Linked DNA regions of Diceros bicornis minor. The main gene of each other region encodes a partner of the protein of the gene in region 2 in a complex. Links are inferred from orthologs where the notes say so. Each region holds a gene or a part of one and is shown on either strand. Other genes may lie near its edges.

Region 1 (7,587 bases), on a different chromosome or scaffold from region 2:
GCCTTAGCAACCCGATCTCTCCCCATGGCAAGCACCAGTCACAGGACCCTACACAGTGCTACACCACAACCCGCCTTGGGGGCCTGTTCCCATTGCAATGATTTTCAACATGTCCAGGGGCCAAGATGCCCCAGATGTTTGTGGGGCGTGATCAACAGAGATTCTAGGGCTGCACAGCCAGCTCAAGCAAATCCACAGCTCTGGCATGAAGGGCCCCAGAATCTGCATTTTGGACATGTTTCCGGAATGCTTCTTCTGTACCTGGGAATCAGGGTCGGGTGAGGTGTGTGAACCGCAGACCCCAGACTCCTAGCCGGCAGAACCCAGGGGCGTGGGGATGGCTGGCAGAGTGTCAGCATCATGGAGAGTGGGAGTAGACACGACACCAGGGCGTGACCAAAGCACCCCGGAGGTTTCTTCAGTGGCCAGGTCCGAAGTCAAGAAGTCAGTTTGTAAATGTTTTTATTTGCAAGTTGGCTTGTGCCAAGTTCAAGGAGCATTTCTCCCCCACCTCTGTCCCTTTTCCAAGCTGAGCACCTAGGGTTGCATTTGAGGAAGTTAAAAACGTGGGCGATGCAACCCCATTGGGTGGGTTTCTTTCTTTACATTCTTTGGATTACTACAGGAGTCTGTACTTAAAAAATCAACACATGAAAGATAAAACTTGAACAAGAAAAGAAAGGGGAGTGTTGGGTGGAGATGTGAGGGGCGCTGTCTGCCCCTCTCCCCACCTCCATCTTCAAGCGTGGAGGCAGAGAGAGCATCTCTGACAAGCGTGCGAGAGGCAGGTGGTGGGGTGCCCCGCGGCCCCCCGCCCTCACCTCACAGCTGGTCTTCTTGTTCTCCCTGCTCTGCTTCTGCTCTGGCCTCGGCCCTCAGCACCCTGAGGTGCCTGGCCTCGCCTGCCCTGGGGACTCGCTTGGGCAGGGCTGGCAATCGGGGAGTGTGCCAGAAGGCTCTCCGGTGCTTTCGAAACCATGAAAAGCGTCCGGGGGTCTGGAACCTCACTGTCTTGACCTGTTTCCGGGTCCTGGCTCCTGAGGTTGCCCCCGTGGCCCCCCGGGCAGCTGAGGCTTCAGCTTCCTGGATGGCTGGGGCCTCTGCCCTCTGGTCAGCTATGGCCTCTGCCCCATTAGATGCAGCCTGTGCTCCCTGGACAGCTGGGGCCCCTGCCCTCTGATTATCTGCAACCTCTGCCCTCCGGCCAGCTGGGCCCCCTGCCCTCTGATTATCTGCAACCTCTGCCCTCTGGACAGCTGGGCCCCCTGCCCTCTGATTATCTGCAACCTCTGCCCTCTGGACAGCTGGGGCCCCTGCCCTCTGATTATCTGCAACCTCTGCCCTCTGGACAGCTGGGGCCTCTGCTCTCTGGACACCTATGGCCCCCGCCCTCTGATTAGCTGCAGCCTCCGCCCTCTGATTATCTGCAGCCTCCGCCCTCTGATCCTCTGCAGCCTCCGCCACCTGAGCTGTGGATGCGGCTGCCTCTCTCCTGCGCCGCCGGAACGAGGCCCAGTTCATCTTGGGCCTCCATCGCCTTGGGGGGGTCCCAGGCACCCGCCCGTCTCCCGCGCTCCCCACGTGATGGGCGCTGCCCAGCGCCGCTGCCCCCTCCCTCTCCACCCTGGCTGAGGCCTGCTGGGCCTCGCCCACCCCGGGGCTGGACCTGGGCGCCCAACACTTCACCCTGTGCTTCAGGTTCCCCCAGGACACCTGGCTGACATACTCCCGCCACCTGTCCGCCTTGGACAGCTGGGGCTCCGGGCTGTTGTCGAACACGGGCACGGGCAGGGCCACGCGGCGGCGGGGTGGTGGGGCGCTGGGCTTCTTGTCCCCTCGCCGGAGGAAGGCCTCCACCAGCTCCTCGTCCTCCTCGCTCTCCAGGTCGCTCCCGAGGAATTTGCTGCCCAGGTAGCTGACGGGCATTCTGCGCACCCTCCTGCGGCATCCCGGGCTTTTGGGGCCCTGGTCACCCTTGTCCCTGGAGGTCTCGAAGTCACTGAACTCGCTGTCGCTGGCGTTACTGCTGTCGTAGGTGCCCACGACCAGCCTGGGGGGCGGGGTCACCATCTGCTGGACTCTCCTCCCTCGGGGCTCCTTCGGCTTTGGGGGGGGCTGGGGTGGGTGCGGGGTGCTCTTCTCAATGATGCGGGCCACGTCCTCGAGGGTGCGGCCTTCTTCCTCCAGAAACTGGGTCAGCCGCTCCCGGAATTCCGCCTCCTTGGTGGCGGGCTTGGAGATGACCCTCCAGACGCCCCCGGCCAGCCTGACCTCCCGGGGGATGAGCAGATAGTCCACGTCCTCCCCAATCTGGAGCATCCCCACTGTGGAGTCCTCCTCCCTGCGGAACACCTTGCCGATCTTCTTAAAGGTCCCCACGGGCTTCAAGGCGTCCACGAGGACGTCCAAATCCACGTCTTTGCAGACATCGGGGACGCTCCAGAGAATCAGGCAGTCGGGGGAGGGGAGGAAGCCCCAAGGGAACCAGCCCCCCACATGGCTCTTCTCGAGGGTCTTTAAGATCTCCAGGGTGAAATATGGGGTGGGGGCCACGAGCCCAAACTACACGAAGCCCCTAGTCTTGGGGGTGGGAGTGAGGTCCCAGCAGAGCAGCCTGGAAAGTCTCGCCTCCCCAGCCAGGGATGAACCAACACTTCCCAATTTCTCTGCCTGCAGCCAGTCCGGTCTTGACCAAGTCTGGCTCCCCCCAAGGGCTGGTGGGAATCGATTCCCAGGACGCTTACGTGAGCCGGGGTGAGGTCAGTCCTGAGCTCCAAGCCCACCGCGAGCTGCCAACGTGGTGGGGCGCACGGGCTGCCCGTGGCTCTTCCTGCCCCGGGCACCAGGGACGCGCCTGGAACTTGGGAGAGGACTTTGCAGACAAAGACGGCTGGCTATTCAATATGGCCGAAGCACTTGGAGGCCGCAGCCCAGCCCCCAGGAGGGTCTCCCGCCCCTAGACAGGCTGCCACCCCCGGCCAGGCTGACCTTCAGGCGCGTCCCGCCTCCCAGCCCGCGCGCTCAGTGCCGAGGAGCGCGCGCGGGCAGGAAGTTCCTCCTCGCCCTTCTCCAACGAGGCCCACCTTCCCCCTTCTCAGCTTACACTCCTGACTCGGGAAGACTGACAGGGGGGCTGTCCACTCCCTTCGGGGCGCCCTCACTCCCCTCCCGCACAGGGGTGTGGCCGCGCCCCGGACCTCGCTGGGGCCACCGCTTCCAAGCGGAACGCGCTCCGAGGCCCACGTCAGCACCTTTCCCGACACAGACCGTCGTTTCTCATCCTTTCCCAAACCTGCCACCCTAAACGTGCGGGTTCCAGCCAAGCGCCGGAGGTGGGTGTGCTAATAAGGCCGTCCTTTTGAAGGCCATACACGCTACATATTACCACTTAAAATCGCGTGACTTCTGGTACCCGCAATTCCTATGTACCTACCCCATACATTTGGGGGGAGAAATTGGTACCAGGGTCTTAGTGCACCAGCCCCTAGTGTGGGGCTTGGCACAAGTTCGTGCTCAATAAATATTTTTGAGCCAATGAATGAACCTAATTGTTCATGGGGGGGGCTGATTCAATTTTATGGTCTAATCTGATAGTGAAATACTACGCAGCTATGAAAAAGAAGGCTAGTCATGTTTTACAGGGCACTTCCATGTCCTAGGCACCATTCTAAGAGCTTTCTATGAATTAACTCATGAAATCCTCCCCCTAACCTTATGAGACAGGTAATATGTTGATCCTTCCCGTTTTATAGCTGAGGATATAAAATCATTTGCTCAAGGTCACACGGCCAAGGAGGATGGAATCTGGATTTGAATCTGAAACAGTCTGTGTGTGTGTGTGTGTGTGTGTGTAGGGCCTAGGTGTGCACATGTGCTTGTCACATGTACAGGCACTGCCCACAGTGGCTGTTTCTGGGAAGGGGACTGCGGACTCCCAGAGGCGGCAGAGACATATGCTTTCCACTCTATATTCTTTTGCATTGCTTGGATTTTTAGCAATCAAAAATGTTAATTCACATAAATTAAACGAAAAGCCCTCAGACTCAGCCACAGATATAGCAGGTCAGGATCTCTAAGACATGGGACCAGAGTTTGCAAAACTTCCCAGGTGACTCTGAGGCAGCCAGCTCAGCAAAGACATGCACAACAACAAAGGCAGGGGCCGGCTGGGTGGCGCAAGCGGTTAAGTGCGCCCGCTCCGATGCGGCGGCCCGGGGTTCCCGGGCCGGATCCCAGGCGCGCACCTACGCACTGCTTGGCAAGCCATGCTGTGGCAGCGTCCCATATAAAGTAGAGGAAGATGGGCACGGATGTTAGCCCAGGGCCAGTCATCCTCCGCAAAAAAAAAAGAGGAAGAGGAGGAGGATTGGAGGATTGGCAGATGTTGGCAGATGTTAGCACAGGGCTGATCTCCCCACAAAAAAACCAACAACAACAAAGGCAAGAGTAAGAGTAATAATAACAGTTAACTTGCACAGAGGGTTTCCTTGGAACCAGACATCCTGCGATGTGCTGAACAGTCCTGTTGTTATGAATCCTCAGAGATAGAGGGTAAGGTGCCCTTCACTCTCATCTTACATCATCCCCAACCCAGCAGCTAGAGGGATCGTTCAAAAACTTAAGTCAGATCTGTCTCTACTCTTTTTAAAATCCTCCATCGCACTCAGAGTAAAGCCAAAGTCTTCACCATGGTCCACGAAGCCCTACAAGATCTCGCCACTTCCCTCTCTCTTCCTCTCCTCGCTCACTCCACTCCAGCCACACCTGCCTCGTCTTCGCTGTTCCTGCAACACACTAGGCTTGTCCCCCACCTCAGGGCCTTTGCACATGCTGTTCCCTCCACGCAGAAATGTTCTGCCGCATCGCCTCTTGGCAATCTCTCTCTGCTCCAATCTCACCTTTTTAGAGAGGTCATTCTGCCTCCCTTTTCCCCGCTAAACTCAAAGAGTGGCCTCCACCCTCTCCAGGGCCCTCTAGCCCAGGAATCCTTAACCCTTTCTGTGCCATGAGCCCTTTCCAGGGTAGTTTTTAAATGCCAATTATAGTGAAATACAACTGTTAAAAGAAAAATTCCAACCACCACAACAAAACAGGTACACTGATGACTTTAATATAAGGGATGAAAATGAACACGTATAATTTTGTTTAACTCACGCTGTGTGGTTTTATTTAACTCCTGAAGGAACCAGGCAGATGTTTAGAGACAGAGGGATGGGAGACAAAAGAAAGGGAAGGGAAAGAGGAAAAGAAGGAAGGGAGATGCTTGGGGGGTGAGGGGCGGTTAAGGCCTCAGGGAGGCCTTTGCACAATTATCGGCTCATTCGGGTTGTTTTCGTTTTTGCAGAGCTGGGCCGTCAGGCTTCACTGGATTTTCTCCTCCTCCTTCTCAAGGCGCCGTCCCAGCCCCCGCACTCAGCTCCCGCGGGGCCTCCCGCCACCCGGCCCCTCCCTGATGCGCGGTTTCTCGCCCCGCCTCCTAACCGTCTCCATGGCAACGAGGAGACGCGTTGCTAGGCGCGAGTCCTCTCTGAGACTGCGGGGCGCTGGCGGAGGGCGGGGGCGGGACAGAGCCTCTTATCGGCTTCTTATCCCTTGCTTCCGCCTGATCCCCAAAATCTGCTTCCCTGAACAGCTGCTTCGCAGAGGCCCCAAACTAAAAGTCCCTAGGACACCCGTTTGAGAAATTCTGGCTAAAGAATCCAGGTCTGAGAAATAAAGACACCACCTCCCAAGCAGGAAAGACCTCCCAGATGAGATATTGGTAAAAGGATTTTTTTTTTTTTGGTGGGAGAAGGAAGGATTATCCTAGAAATGAAAACCTCAAATGTTCAACATGCTCATAAAAATTGCCAACCCCTGAGCAGTTCCGCTGGGGGTGTTTGAGATTCCCAGATCGCTGGCGGGCAAGATCTTTCTCTAGCCGTCCTAGGAAAAAAAAACCACGATAATTACACCTCCTGCTTTTCTATTTGTTTAAAAGAAACGAAAAATCAGAAAAGATTGAGGGAAGAAAACAAAACTTGGCCCTAATCTCTCTACCCAGCTCCACTTGGTTGCCATTTTAAACAATAATAATAATAATAAAAGTGATGCACACATATGCGAAGAAAATGCTTAAGTTACAGAAAGGTGTACAATGAAAAACGTCTCCCTCCCCCAGCGGCAAGTCCCCAGCCTCTCCCGCTAAAGTAGCCACAGTTAAATATCTCTCAGGGAAAAAACAAATGCTTACATTAGTATATTTTAGTAACTTTAGAATTTACCCCCTGGGGATTTTTCACATCATTCTGAATTATTTTCATCACAGTACTTATCACTTCCTGGTATTTTCTTATTTATTTATTGTCTCTCCCTGTTAGAGCATTAGCCCCACCAAGGCAGAGATATTTGTCTGGTTTGGCTCACCGCTGAATTCTCAGCGTCTAGAACAGCATGGGTAGGTGCTCAAAATATTTGATGAATGAATGAGGGGCTTGCACTAGATCTATTGCTAGAAAACTTGCTTTTTTCCCTGAATAGCATGTCTTGAAGTCTTTCTGAATCAGTGCATGCAGATCCATCGCAGTTTTCTTTTTCCGTGACAGCTTGCACCTTTGTGTGTGTCCACAAGCCTGGAACGTCATAACACTGATGATAATTCACTTTTATTGAGCATCTACTTTGCCCCTGCCCCTGTGCATTTTCTCTTTTAATCCATACACCCCCTCCTGAGCAAGTGTTATTCCCATTTTCCGGATGAGAAACACTGAGGCCAAAGAAGGTCACACAGCCAGGAAATGGCAGAGCCAAGCTTTGACTCACTCGGGTTCCCTAGATTCCAACCCCACCCTTGGAAGCCTCCTTTATTTGCCCAGTTGCCTGAGGTGGGGTGGAGTGGGGAGCAAGGTGGGTGGGCAGTCCCCGAAGTCTTCTCTCCCAGGTGACACTTGTAACCTTGGCACAGTCACCAGATTTGTCCTCAGTCTTCAACATCCAGAAATCAGATCCCTGTCTAGAATGGACAGGATATAAATTGTCCCCACCTCTGGACCAGATACCAGAAGGTTAATTGACAGCACACAGTAGGTCCTCAGCAAATACAGCAGGAAGCAGCACTGTGGTCTACACTCTGCCATATAGTTGGGTCACCCCTGCCCGCCTCCCCGCCCCATCCCAAATCTGAAGGCTGTTTGTTGAGTATGGAGGCAAAGCCAGCAATTAGAGGAGCCATGTATTTGAGGACATCATTCATTCATTCATTCATTCACGTGGCGCATTTCTCTAAAGTCATGATTCTCAAAACAGTTGCACATTAGAATCACTGGAGAGAATTCTAGAAATTAGTTTCCAGAGTCCAACCTACAGGATCAGAACATCTTAGGGTGGGGGATGGGGTACTGCATTAAAAAAAAAATCTCCCCTGGGCTGGCCCGATGGTGTAGTGGTTAAGTTCATGCACTCCGCTTTGGTGGCCCAGGGTATGTGGGTTTGAATCTCGAGCATGGACTTACACACCGCTCATCAAGCCTTGCCATGGCAGCGTCCCACATACAAAATAGAGGAAGACTGGCACAGATGTTAGCTCAGGGCCAATCTTCCTCAAGCAAA
Region 2 (6,842 bases):
GACTCCTCCTGGCATCCTGAGCTGCCTAAACCCACATTAGCTCATGCCGTTTGCTTCTCTCCCAGAGCTGGCAGGCACTGTGGAATCACAGAAAAATCACCAGAAGAGAAGATGGCCTAAATTCTTATCTGACCCTGACACTCACTAGCCACATCACCCGAGCAAGGCCATTTTAATGATCCTGGGCCTCCGTTTCCTTACTTGTAAAGTGGGGGAAAGAGATGCACCACATTAGTGATTTTCTTTTTCTTTCTTTACTTTTGCTGAGGAAGATTGGCCCTGAGCTAACATCTGTGCCAATCTTCCTCTATTTTGTATGTGGGTCACTGCCACAGCATGGCCACCGACGAGTGGTGTGGGTCTGTACCCGGGAACTGAACCCAGGCTGCCAAAGTGGAGCACGCCAAACTTAACCACTAGGCCACGGGGCCGGCCCCACATTAGTGATTTTCACACTGTGAAAATCAGTGGTTAAGTTTGGCATGCTCTGCCAGAGGCACCTCACAAATTCTGCAAGGGTCTGAGTGGAATTTCATTTTTAACAACTTTAACCATTTTCAAAATTGCATCTTATAAAAAGAAAGCATAATGACAGAAATGACCAGTGGGTTCACTTGGGCTGCTGGAGAAGCATGTTCATCCTGCAGCTCTGCCCTCCTGCTGGGCTTCTCTCCCAATGGAGTCAGGGTTCAACGCGGCCCGGCCAGTTTGTGCACATCAAACTGTACCAGCGAGGCCACCACGGCACCACAGGTGCCTCGTGCTTGACGGCGTGCCAGGCAGAGCTCAGGAGATTTGCCAACTTTTTCTCCTCTGAGGGAAAAAGCTAGGCAATAACTAGAAAATGTACAATCCCTCGACTTGTGATGAAGTCCTATCATGGAGAGCTTTAACTTCCGGTGTGAGTTTGGGGTGTTCTTTTTTACCCCTGAATTTTCTGTTTACCAGCAACGTAAGCATTTATTAGATATTGCTGGTGACTCAGCTTTGAAACATAAATTTCCTCTCCTTTCTTTTCCTCTTCTTTCAAACCTGAACAGCAGTTTAGTGAAAGAATAGTCAAAAATGCCAGAGTATTTTTCCTCCCTCAAGCTTACCTTTGGGGTGAATCAGGAGTTTCTCAATGTGAGGCCTGCAGGCAGGTGTTTCTCCCCAGGCTCACAGAGGAGAGCCGGTTATGAACACAGCCTCCACTTAAAATGAGTGTAATCAATAAAATAGCCCCCTTGTTCTCACTGGTTGGCTTTAGAGGTATGTGTTATACATTTGGATTTAGAAATTTACACGGATAAAATGTTCCTTTTATCTGTTTTATATATCGGGGCCCCAGATGGGGTTTCCATTGGGGAAGAAGGAGTGAATTAATAAAGAGGTTGAAAACCACTGGAGTAGAAGAGATCTAGGCCCCTCTGGGTTTGTACATCAATCACTCCTTAAAGCCGCTTATCAAGGGTAGTTTTCCACCACTTGCCTCAGAATCACTTGGGGAGGTTTGCTAAGAAGTTCCTGGGTACGCTGGAGACCTGCTAAATCTGAATCCCTGGGGGGTGGGAGGAGGGCTGGAAATTGTATTTTAATAGCCCGTCTCCCCTCCCCCACCGTCTTTTGGGCGGCGCTGGGCACTGAGAGGCGATGGAGTAAGGAGGACCCCGGAGGGCGCTGGAGGGCTCTCCAGGCCCGGGCTGCTGGGGGCGCCGCAGTACCTTTGACGTGCAGCTGCACGGCACTGAGCGTCTGCCCTGCCGAGTTGCGCGCGGCGCACACGTAGAGCCCGCGGTCCTTGGCCTGGCAGTAGAGCACCTTGAGCACGAAGCCGCCGTCGCGGTCGCGGTACATGAGGCGGCGGCGATCGGGGAGCAGCGGGCGGCCCTCCCAGTGCCATTCGATCTCGGGCTCGGGCTTGCCCATCACGTAGCAGCGGAACTTGGCGTGCTTGCCCTCGTTCACCCAGAAGGTCTTGGGCGCACACTTGAGCGGCTCCACCACCGGCGGGGGCGCCTCGTCGGGGTCCTCGGGGGGGCTCTCGGGGGGCTGGTGCACCTGGAGCAGCGCGCCGGCCTGCGCATGGCCGTGCGCGTTGCGGGCGTGGCACACGTACACGCCCGAGTCGGGCAGCCGCGCCGCCAGGATGCGAAGCGCCAGGCTCGCGCCCGGGCCACCCTCGGCGCGGCGCGGCTCGAGCGCGAAGTGGCCGCTGTCCCACACTTCGTCCAGGGCCATCCCGTCCTTCTCCCAGTACAGCGTGGGCGCGGGGAGGCCCCCCACCTGGCACGTCAGCACCACCTCCGCCCCCCGCAGCACCCACTGGGACCGGGGCCCGGTCAGGAACACCGGGGCGCCCTCTCCAGCCCCGGGCGGCGGCAGCGGGCGCTCGGCGGGCTGGGGCTCGGGCTCGGGGGCCGGCGGCTCCAGCACGGTGACGGCGGCCGCCGCGTAGGCCTCCCCGGCCGCGTTGCGGGCGCGGCACACGTAGACCCCCCCATCGGTGGGCCGCGCGCCGCTCAGCAGCAGGCCGTGCTCGGCGCCATCCGCCGGGAAGCTCAGGCGCTCCGAGGCCACCAGCGGCTGCCCGCCCTTCTCCCACACGACGGTGGGCGGCGGCTCCCCCAGCACCACGCACTTGAGCTCGGCCTCGGCGCCACTTACCACCCGCACGGGCCGCGGGAAGCGCAGGAAGCACGGGGGGCTCCCCTGATCCCCCGAGCCCGCCTTCATCGCGCCGGCCGCAGACGGCCCCGCGGCGCGGGGGCAGCGCGGGCGGCCTGCGGGCGCGCGGAGGCCCGGAGCGGCGGCGGGAGCCCGGGAGGCGGGGCGGATCTGGGGACGGGGCGCGGGGAGCCGCCGAGCTCTCCCGGGGCCGCCCGCTCCCGGCTCGCCTCCTTACCCTGGGCCCGGAGCTGCAGCTCTGCGGCGGCGGCGATCCCGGGCCCGGAGCGCGCAGCTCAGGGGGCAGTCCTTCCTGTTTGCCTTTACGGCGAGGGGCCCCGCAGCCTCCCCTGCCCGCGGCCTGGCTTCCTGCTCCCGAGAGCCTCCCTTCCCAGCCCCCTCCCCCAGCCTGGGCCTCTTTCCCCTCCTCCTTCCCCCCTCCAGCCGCCAGGTCCCCAGCCGCCCGCCAGGCTTGGGCCTGAGTGGCAGAGTCGCCTGCAGCTGCCAATCCCAAAAATATTCTCTGATGACACAGCTGGAGGACAAGAGCCCGGGCTGGCTCCTCCAGGCTAAGTATAGAGCAGGCGGGACCACCTGCCCCCCGCCCTAGCCCCAGTTCTAGCCCCAGCCTCAGCCCTTCCCCCAGGACTGGTCCAGCAGCTGCTTGGGTGAAAGGGGCCCCAGAAGGTCTGAGGGGCTGGCACATTCTGTCTTCCCGACAAATAACCCTCTTAGGAGCTGACAGACCCCAGCTGCCAGGCTCCTGTCACACCTGATGTCACCTCTGTGCTGGGTGCTCCGATGTGACTGGCAGTGTGTGTGTGTGTGTGTGTGTGTGTGGAGTGAGTGTGTGTAGGGGGAAGGCTTGTCTGTGTGGGTCAGGTCACTTGGGGTGAAAACCCTCACCAGCCCCCTCCCCCACATTCCTGGCGGGAGTGGGAGATAAGGCTCAGGGCCACAGACATCTGCGTCAGAGATAGGAGGTCTCAATGCCACGGGCAGGGGCAACTCGGACTGCAGGGTGTGGGAAGGGCTGGGGAAGACCCAGGGAGAAGGGTAGAAGAGGGCGGGTGGTGGGATGGGGAGTGGGGAGGCCCTGGGCAGACCCTGACTGAAGGGGCGCAGGGCAGGGAGTGGGGTCACTGTTGGCAGGCCCAGGTGAGCGATGGTGTCCCAGCCGCCACTGCTGTTCCTCTTGCTCCTGGTTCCACAGGCTGGGCATGGCTGCCAGGGGTCACAGCTGGACCGGGAAATTGTCCTGGCCAAGGTGAGGGCCCTGTTCCTGGACGCCTTGGGGCCCCCGGCAGTGATCGGGGAAGGTGGGGATCCTGGAGTCAGGCGTTTGCCCCGAAGACATGCCTTGGGAGGCTCCGTGCGGAGGGCCTCTGAGCCCGAGGAGGAGGATGTATCCCAGGCCATCCTTTTCCCAGCTTCAGGTAACGAGGGCGGGGATCTTGGAGGGCGACTTTGAGAAGCAGCATGGTTCAGTGTGGGCTTGGAAGCCAGGGTGGTCTCACTCAACTGGCTTTGCAACAATGGGCCAGTTACTAAACCTCCCTGACCCTCTGTGTCTTCATCTGTAACATGGGCAATAATGCCTACCTCTCAGGATTAAGTGAGATGGTGTATCTAGAGTGCATGGCACATAGGAGGCATTGGGAGATATTCGTCTGGGAGACCAAAAGTCCCTAGAGACGGAGATATCTGGGCATGAGCCCCCTCTTGCCACCTTCCCTTCTTTCTCTGCCTCTGCTCCCTGCTCCAAACCTTGTTCCTTTAGCCCCAAGTAGCTGAGACTTGAGAGATATCAGAGATGTAGGAGAAAGAGCAGTTGGGAAACTTTTCTGGGAAACCGGTCCATCTTCTCTTGAATTCCCTTCTCATCTCCCTGTGTGTGTCCCCATGTTCCATGGACCGAACCAATAAAGCCCTCCTCTGGATCTACTTTCTTGTAATCTGTCCCACCTTTCCCTTAGAGAGGACCGGCTGCCTCCCTGCTCATCACTCCCCGTGCAGCACAGTCAGTCAAAGTGTGGCTTTGGGATCAGGCAGAGTCCCAGCCTGGCCGCTTAAGTTAAATGTCACTCACCTTTCTAACCCTCAGTTTCCATATCTGCAAAATGGATCGGTTGTTGTGAGGTTTATAATAGATAAAGATAATCCAGGTAACACTATAGCTCTAACCGCCAGTCCTATTGGTGCTGATCCATGATGGTTCACTGTGGTCCATGTACCCATCAGGGTCAGGATGCCAGCTGCACTTTCTTAGAACGTGCTGCCCTCTATCCTGAGCTATAGTCTCTCTTCTCCTCTTTCTTCTTTTTGGTGTTAACCTGTCTTTTTAAAGTGGAATTATTATTTTTTCTAATTAAATTTTTTATTGCAGTAACATTGGGTTATAACATTATATAAATTTCAGGTGTGCATCATTATATTTCAATTTCTGTTTAGACTACATTGTGTTCACCACCAAAATCCTAGTTGCCATCCATTAAAAGTGGAATTATTTTAAAGAATTTATCATGCACTATTTTTTTTTTATTTTGGTGAGGAAGACTAGCCCTGAGCTAACATCCATGCCAATCCTCCTCTTTTTGCTGAGGAAGATTGGCCCTGGGCTAACATCCATGCCCATCTTCCTCTGCTTTATATGGGACGCCGCCACAGCATGGCTTGACAAGCGGGGCATTGGTGCGCGACTGGGATCCGAACCTGTGAACCCTGGGCCGCTGAAGCAGAGCACACGCACTTAACCGCTGCACCACCAGGCCGGCCCCTATCAGGCACTATTTCTAACATGTAAAAAGATATAAAGAGTAACACAACAAATGCCTGTGTACAGACCCTTCAAGGTACCATTTCACACTACCAGATGAAGAAAAATTTAAGTCTAACGAACAATTCCAAGTGTTGGTGAAGGTAGAGAGCGGCAGGGCCTCTGACACACGGCTGATGGGAATATTAATTGGTAAAACCACTTCAGAGAGAAGTTGGCAACATCTTGTATTTTTTAAGTCCTTTAATGATGAGATAATAAATGGGGAGCCTCTGTCAGTTCTCCCAAGACTGGAGGGAGGCCCCAAGTTGGCAGAGCACTCAATGGAGTGGTTGGCAGGCTCATGAACGGCAGCCACATCCCTTCTGTCGAGGAGGAAGGCTCCCCAGTCTGCCAGTCAGGCCTGCCCTCTCCCTTCCCTCTGTCTCCTGTAGGTGCCAGATGTGAGGATATGCCAGCTGCTGGTGAGTGGGCCCAGGAGGCTGAAGAGGGCCTCTTCACGTATGTGTTCCGGCCGTCCCAGCACACACGCAGCCGCCAGGTGACTTCGGCCCAGCTGTGGTTCCACACCGGACTGGACAGGCAGGGCACAGCAGCCTCTAATAGCTCTGGGCCCCTGCTAGGCCTGCTGGCACTGTCATCCGGGAGTCCCATGGCTGTGCCCATGTCACTGGGCCAGGCACCCCCTCGCTGGGCTGTGCTGCACCTGGCCGCCTCGGCCCTTCCTCTGCTGACCCGCCCTGTCCTGGTGCTGCTGCTGCGTTGTCCTCTCTGTTCCTGCTCAGCCCGGCCTGAGGCCACACCCTTCCTGGTGGCCCACACACGGGCCAGGCCGCCCAGTGGAGGGGAGAGAGCCCGGCGCTCGACTCCTCCACTGCCCTGGCCGTGGTCTCCCGCCGCGCTGCGCCTGCTCCAGAGGCCTCCAGAGGAACCGGCTGCCCACGCCAACTGCCACCGAGCGGCTCTCAACATCTCCTTCCAGGAACTGGGCTGGGACCGGTGGATCGTGCACCCTCCCAGTTTCATCTTCCACTATTGTCACGGTGGCTGCGGGCTGCCTGCCCCACCAGACCTGCCCCTGCCGGTCCCTGGGGTTTCCCCCACCCCTGTCCAGCCCCTTTCTTTGGTGCCAGGGGCCCAGGCCTGCTGTGCCTCTCTTCCGGGGACCATGAGACCCCTACGTGTCCGCACCACCTCGGATGGAGGTTACTCCTTCAAGTACGAGATGGTGCCCAACCTTCTCACACAACACTGTGCTTGCATCTAAGAGAGTTCTGCGGGGGGCCAAGCCCCCACCATCAGCTGGGAGGAAGGGCAGAGTTCGGGAGATTGATGGTTTCTACTTCCCCCTTCCTCCCACTTCTCTGCCTGAAGGCTCCTCCCCCGTCCCACCGCTGTCCCATGGGTAACATGTGACAAT

What was found. The genes of interacting proteins can lie anywhere in the genome.
Region 1: OBSL1 (region 2) and CCDC8 share a complex: the UniProt entries of both Homo sapiens proteins name them as parts of the 3M complex. The link is inferred for Diceros bicornis minor from reciprocal best matches to the Homo sapiens genes OBSL1 and CCDC8.

Annotation. Positions count from the first base shown.
Region 1 is NC_080773.1:21,981,512-21,989,098, forward strand, and holds the start of CCDC8 (coiled-coil domain-containing protein 8), read right to left. Parts: upstream 3,001-7,587; 5' UTR 2,320-3,000; coding exon 823-2,319; 3' UTR 1-822. UniProt on the Homo sapiens protein: Core component of the 3M complex, a complex required to regulate microtubule dynamics and genome integrity. It is unclear how the 3M complex regulates microtubules, it could act by controlling the level of a microtubule stabilizer.
Region 2 is NC_080776.1:9,826,246-9,833,087, forward strand, and holds the start of OBSL1 (obscurin-like protein 1), read right to left. Parts: upstream 3,007-6,842; 5' UTR 2,716-3,006; coding exon 1,704-2,715; intron 1-1,703. Other genes in the region: INHA (inhibin alpha chain), read left to right, coding at 3,812-4,082, 5,857-6,689. UniProt on the Homo sapiens protein: Core component of the 3M complex, a complex required to regulate microtubule dynamics and genome integrity. It is unclear how the 3M complex regulates microtubules, it could act by controlling the level of a microtubule stabilizer.